Sus scrofa: one gene and its partner. The protein of the gene in region 2 binds, or shares a complex with, the protein of the main gene of each other region. Links are inferred from orthologs where the notes say so. Each region holds a gene or a part of one and is shown on either strand. Other genes may lie near its edges.

Region 1 (3,753 bases), about 16 Mb from region 2:
CTGAGCCCATTCCAGCTTCAGCACAGCCACCTACTAACCAAGTTACCCTGGGAAACTCAATCTCCCAGAAGCTCAGTTTCTCCTCTTCTCAACTATCCCACTCTAGTTGATGAGGGTGCTAATAGACAGGAAGGGATTAACTGACCCTAGTTCAATTAAGAAGGCTGATCAGCTTTGAAAAGAAAAAAAAAAGAGAAATGAAGTACATCGCATACAGTAAGGAAAGTACTGTTTTAGGAAACTTTGATTTTAGTGGGATACTCTGACTTAAAATATATTTATTATGGCTGCACTGTGGTCAAAACACTTGAAAGCTATTGCCCTTAGATCACCAGTTCTAGGGCAGGCAACCTAGGAATCACTAGTTAGGAGTCATCAGTTGAACTGGCATCCTTGGTTAAGGGAGTAAGGAAGAGGCTGCTGACTGAGTTCCACTGGCAATTCTTTCTGGAAAGTTCACTCTTGGGGACTTTTCAGTTTGGCTCAGAAAACTTTCACTAAATATCCACTGTGTGCTTAGAACCAGATGCTGCATCTCCTGCCTCTCTGGCCTCATCTACTAACCTCTCCCATTCTCTCGCTACTCCAGCCACTTCAACCTTGTTGATTCTTGACCAGGCATCATTGTGCCTCTGCCTCAGGGCCTTTGTACTTACTGTTCTCTCTGTCAGAAATGTTCTTCGCCCAGACAGCCATATGGCTTGCCAGCTTCCTTTAGATCTATGATGACTTGTCCCCTTTGCAGTAATATTGTCCCTCTCTCACTTCCTTGCTTTTTCTCCACAGCATTTTCAATACCTAACATACTACTTTTTCTTTCTTTCTAGGGCCGCACCTGCAGCATACAGAAGTGCCTGGCCTAAGGATGGAATCAGAGTGGCAGCTGCTGGCCTACACCATAGACACAGCAGACATGGGAGCTGAGACGAATCTGAGACCTATGCTGCAGCTTGCAGCAATGCCGGATACTTAACCCACTGAGCCAGCCAGGGATCCACCTTCATCTCCATGGATACCAGTTTTTTGTTTTGTTTTGCTTCTTAGAGCCACGCCCGAAGCATAGGGAGGTTCCCAGCCTATGGATATAATCAGAGCTACAGCTGCCAGCCTATGCCACAGCCACAGCAATGCACCAGATCCAAGTTGAGTCTGCGACCTACACCACAGCTCATGGCAACGCTGGATCCTTAACCCACTGAGCAAGACCAGGGATTGAACCTGCAACCTCATGGTTCTTAGTAGGATTTTTTTCTGCTGCACCACAACGGGAACTCCTGGATACTAGTTCTTAATCCACTGAGCCATGACGGGAACTCCACATACTACTTTTTAAACTTATGTATGTATGTTACAAAACATATTTATGAACTGATTTTACAAACATACATATTTTACTTATTTTAAGGCATATATGAGACATTAGGGCTGCAGTTTTTGTTTGTCCTGTTTGCTATTTTTTTCCCAGGTCCTGAGAATACTGCAAGGACCTAAAAATTTGTTAACTGAACAGATATAAAGGTGAATGAGACAGGTTCTGTTCCCAAGAAATTCAGTCTAATGGCGCTTCCTCTTTCTGGACTTTATCTCCTTTTTCTGTAAACTGAAGGAACTGGACTAGGGTCTGGACACTTTGCCATGCTTCTGAGTCTGAGAATCTCAGATGACAACACTTTGTGTCTGCATATCACTCTACAGTTTACACCTACCCTTTCATTTGATCACAACAACCCTGTGTGCGTGATGTGGTGGTGGGGATTATTTTCACACTGGAGATGTGGTAAAAAAGCTTGTGACTTACCCAAGGTTCCACAAATGGCAAGTGGCTGGCTGAGACTAGAACCCAGCCAGACCTCGGGTCCAATACTCCTTCCTCATCACCACTTGATACATAGGGTCCTGCCTATTATAAATGCTGCTGCAGACCAACTCTTAGTAATCTTCCAGAAATCCTGTCCCTGGGCCCCAACCATCCAGGATGGGGTCCAGGGTGCCCCTTGGGGGTCCCCTTAGGGACAGAGGAAATGGCTCCCCTCTCCATACCATGCAGTCCATGAGGATGAATTTGAGATTGTCTTCGTTAAATGCTTGGTTCCCGTTCCGGTCGTAGGCCGCCCAGATGTTACTGGCGATGGCTGCAGTGACTCGGGCGTCCGTATCCCCGTAACCAGAGTAGGCCAACAGAGATCCCTCGTTATTCAGCAGCCTGGAAAAGCATCAGAACGGATATCAACGTGCTCAGGATGGGGAGTAAAATACCTGACTTTCCATCCCAACTCGCCCACCGGCGCTCCTAGAAAGCAAGGGTCTGGGTTGAGTGTGTCCTAGAACATGCCCCAAACACCCAGCACGTCAGTTTCTCTTTCAAGAGTGGCCCTCTCGCCGGTTCACCCAAAGGCTGCCCCCTCTGCCACCTCCTCCCTTCCCAGAGAGCCTTCCCCACCCCTCCCTCGGAGAGCCGCGCGCAGCCCCACTCCAGTGCTCGCCGCTCGGCCTCTCGGTCCGCACTCACAGGGTGCTCTGGACACCTCCAGTGTTAGCTTGGCTTAGCACCTGGGTCAAAGCCTTGGGACGCAGCATGCCTGTGGCTCCTAACCCTGGGCTTTCACAACCTGATCCCGGAGTTTCCTATAACTGGCCTCCGCCTGCCGCTTCCCGTAGTCCAGCTGCCCGGCTCCAGAACTCCTGGGAGTTGTAGTTTCCTGGCCTGACTGTGCGGTTCTGACTCAACCCCGCCTCACCGCGGGGGGCGCTGGGAATTGTAGTTCCTCGAAGCTTCGCGAGGCACCCTGGGAACTACAGTTCGCCTTTCCAGTGAGACCACGCGGTTATGGGGGAAAAGAGCGGGAGTAAAAGGATAGTGGCAGTACTGGAAGGACATTTAACCCTCTCGGGCAGAGGAGTCATATCTGCTTGACAATCCACGATTCAGTAATTAAAAGAAAACAAAATTCCTATACTTGTCAGGCATACCTTGGGTTACTTCTCAAAGCAATTTTCTACATTATGCATAATTCTGTGAGATGAGGAGATAGATGCTATTGAGGAAATAGGCTCAGAAAGGCCATGCAGGCAAAAATCCAGGTCTCTGGAACTGTACTGAATAGACTTCTTGGAGGCCGCTACCCTCAGGGGAATTAAGTCAATCCTACAGAAGAGGTTTTAGGTAGATATCCAGAAGTGGAAAATTCAGCCTCCAAGTCGGGAGAAGCCTCAGGCCTGGAAAGGATTTGGGCTTTCCAAGAAAGACCAGTTATCATAGGGAACGGAGATAAAGCGGCGACACAGAAAGTCCTTTGTCCCGGAGAAAGAGTTAGTCGCGGAGGGGGCGGGTAGCTTTGGGCCCGGGGGCGGGGGGTTGGCACCTCAGCGCGACTCGGACCGGCTACCACGGGCGGTGGTCTCTCCCGGAGAGTTTGCTTCCCGCCCCTGTCCGGAGCAGCCCCTTTGGGGGCCGCCGCCCAGCAAGGCCCTGCCCAGGCTGCAGACCCCGGGCTCGGCCCTGGGCGGACCCCGCTGCAGTGGCCCCCCCGGTCCGCCCGGGGCGCTGTGGCTGCGGCTGGTCCGGAGGGGGCGGTGAAGCCTTGGGGAGGGGAGGGGAGAGGGGAGTGTTGGAGGCGCCGGAGCCGAGCACCGCCGGGCGGGCGGGGAGGAGGAGGAGCCGGGGCGGGCTGGCGGGCGGCCGGGTGGCGGCGGCGGCGGCGGCATGGCGGAGCCGAGCGGGGCCGAGACGAGGCCCCCGATTCGGGTCACCGT
Region 2 (3,268 bases):
CTGTGTTCTCTTCTAGGAGTTTAATGACGTCTTGCCTTATGTTTAAGTCTTTAAGCCATTTTGAGTTTATTTTAGTTCATGATGTTAGGGTGTGTTCTAGTTTCACTGATTTACATGCAGCTGTTCAGTTTTCCCAGCACCACTTGTTGAAGTTATTCACGTTTTTAAAATTATTTATTGTGGTAAGATACATTCAACATAAATTTTACCATCTTAACCATTCTGGATTTTTTTAGCTGTGCCCATGGTGTATGGAACCGCCCAGGCCAGGGATGGAAACCATGCCACAGCAGTGACCCAAGCCACTGCAGTGACAACACTACATCTTTAACTGCTAGGCCACCAGAGAACTCCTTGTCTTAACCATTCCCAAGTGTAGAGTTCAGTGGTATTAGATACATTCATTTGTTATTACAACAATCACCACCATCCACCTCTAGGACTCTTTTCATCTTGTAAACTGAAACTCTATGAATTATACAGTAATTCCCCATTTCTTATCCCTGGCAACCACCATTCTACTTTCTATATGAATTTGACTGCTCTAGGTACCTCAGGTAGGTGGAATCATAGAGAATTTGTTTTTTTTTTTTTTTTTTTGTGACTGGCTTATTTCACTCATCATAATGTCCTCCAGAGTCCTCTGTGTTGTAGCATGCGTCAGAATTCCGTTCCTTTTTTAAGGCTATTATACCATGGTATGTATATACCATATTTCGTTTATATATCCACCCATCCGTAGATGTGAGTTGCTTCCATCTCTCTGCTGATAACCCATATAGGGTTGTTAATGAGAATTAAATATATTCCTGGCATACGGTAAGTACCTAATGTATCTGCTCTAGTGTTTTTTGGTTTTTGCTTTTTTTTGTTTTTTTTTTTTTTTTGCTTTCTAGGGCCGCACCTGCGGCATATGGAAGTTCTAGGCTAGGGGTGGAATCAGAACTATAGCTGCCAGCCAACACCACAGCCACAGCCACACTAGATCCAAGATGCATCTGCAACCTACGCCACAGCTTCCAGCAATGCTGGATCCTTAACCCACTGAGCGATGCCAGGGATCGAACCTGCGTCCTCAAGGATACTAGTCGGGTTTGTAACCCACTGAGCCACAAGAGGAACCCCATGCTATTATTTTTTTTATTGTGGGGTAGGAGTATGTTTGACTTGTTTTACATATCCACGGATGCATCTGTGAGATCCTCTGTATTTCAGGAGCTTCCACAAGGGAAGAGTTTGGAGCAGTTACCTTTTAAAGATTACAATTTGGTAATTGAAAAATAAACATTTGATAAGAATTTAAAGAATCCAGAAAAGATCCAAGCTTTCCTCTAACCAGGTTTATTAAACATAACAAGATTCTATATATAAAGTGACCTAAACCTGCTGCTTCAAAACATGATACTTTCCTAACCAGTATTTTGATAAGTCAATCCATGGAATGGCAAAAAGCAGCTTACTCTAAAATTAATAGAAAAGCACCCAATGCACATTATACGAACAGCCTAACTACTGGAACTTGAATAGTTCTGTAAGGTAAGTATGAATGAGGCCCTGTGACAGGCTGCAGGAGAATGGACACAGGGTGTCAAGAGGCCATTTTATGCACGGCCACTGTGATGCCATCGTGCTTCTGGATCATGATGTTCCTGAAAGGCAAAGTGGAAGATATTCAGTAAAAGGCTACAGGTGGGAGTCAGTGTAAGATTAAAGATGCTGTTTGGTTTAGGATACAACTAAAAAAATAGTACTTATCATTTTTCTATGTATAAAAGCAATATATAAACACAACAGAGCATTTGGGAAATACAGAAAAGTATAAAATACGAAAATGAAATTAATTTTATAATCGTATCAAAGACAACCATTATTAGTATCTTCCTTTTTTAATCTGGTGTATAGCATACATATCTTCTCATTTTACAAAACTGTGATCATAATGAGCATAGTTTTGTATTCTGCTTTTTTCATTTACTATTGTTCAGAGGACCCTCACTCAAAACATCTTTATATTTCTATTACTACACACACCGTTTCTGTTCTTGGTTTAGTCTTCCTCTGCTTTCTTTTACTGATAGTTCGTGACAGCTCTTACTCTTCATTTACATGTACCACTGTGGTCTGAAAGCACAAGAGCTTCAGAGATCAATGCAACAGCTCCTATGGTCCAAAGGGCGGAACCATCCTCCAAGTACTTTAAATGAACACAGGGCAAGCCCCAGTCAAGTTCCCCAGGGCTTTTTCTGAATCAAAAGGAAAGGAAGGGATCTGCTGACATCTACTCACCCGTTATCTGATTCTAGACACACGACAGGAATATCGGTGGGGTCTGAGGTTAGCTTAGCTGCTTGCTGGGCTAGGACAGATATCACCCCAGCATGCTCATCAGACAGGGTCCCTCGGCCTAGAAGACAGATATGGTATCATGTTGCCTGACTGTCCAAAAATGAGTACAGAGCTATAGTAGAACTAAACTCAGTTATTCACAAAAAGAAGGGTCAGCTCCTGGGCTCTTAGCTACTGTTAGTACTGTACGGACATGAAATGATTCTGCCCTGAGACTCAGCTGGTTATCTCAGTGAGGAAGCCAGACAACAGCTTTTAAGTCAATAAAGCCGTAACACTCAGTTCTCCAAGTCATTTCCATCACCATCTTCAAACACCTTCTCAAGCATGTAAGGAAGCTATAATTCAAGTCAGTCTGGAAGCAAACTGAAACCAAGACGAAATTCAGAGGTGAGACTGACAAAAAGCAGTCAGTAAGGACAAGAGACGTTGAAACTAATTAATTCCTGGAGTTCCCTCATAGCTCAGTGGGTTAAGGATCTAGCATTGTCACTGCTATGGTGCTGGCATAGCTGTGGCATGGGTTTGATCCCTGGCCTGGGAACTTTGCATGCTGTGGGTGAGGCCCTCCCCCAAAAATCCCAACTAATTAATTCCTCATGGGAAATCTAATTTCCTTTTACTGAGTTCAACTTCAAAGAATATAAAGATCTTGGCTCAAGAGTTTAGCTGTAGGATCTCCTTAACAGCATACATAACTATTCTATAAGCAATTATGTCCATTAGAACAAGCTGGTTGTTTTCAAATAGGAACAGAATTAGCTTTTTACTAATGTCTGTTTTAGCCTGTAGATAATAACTTAGGTGTGAGGTACAAAAAGTAATCACTAAGTTTACCGTATATTTCTGTATATAGAGGCAACACAAGCCCATGTACTTGAAACCAGGTCAGGTAATGTACATGCTACTATGCAGAGTTGAT

What was found.
Region 1: LAMTOR5 (region 2) and LAMTOR2 share a complex: the UniProt entries of both Homo sapiens proteins name them as parts of the ragulator complex. The link is inferred for Sus scrofa from reciprocal best matches to the Homo sapiens genes LAMTOR5 and LAMTOR2.

What each region holds. Positions count from the first base shown.
Region 1 is NC_010446.5:93,972,777-93,976,529, forward strand, and holds the start of LAMTOR2 (ragulator complex protein LAMTOR2), read right to left. Parts: upstream 2,786-3,753; 5' UTR 2,578-2,785; coding exon 2,510-2,577; intron 2,204-2,509; coding exon 2,041-2,203; intron 1-2,040. Other genes in the region: UBQLN4 (ubiquilin-4), read left to right, coding at 3,704-3,753. UniProt on the Homo sapiens protein: As part of the Ragulator complex it is involved in amino acid sensing and activation of mTORC1, a signaling complex promoting cell growth in response to growth factors, energy levels, and amino acids.
Region 2 is NC_010446.5:109,725,592-109,728,859, reverse strand, and holds the end of LAMTOR5 (ragulator complex protein LAMTOR5), read right to left. Parts: intron 2,405-3,268; coding exon 2,287-2,404; intron 1,650-2,286; coding exon 1,589-1,649; 3' UTR 582-1,588; downstream 1-581. UniProt on the Homo sapiens protein: As part of the Ragulator complex it is involved in amino acid sensing and activation of mTORC1, a signaling complex promoting cell growth in response to growth factors, energy levels, and amino acids.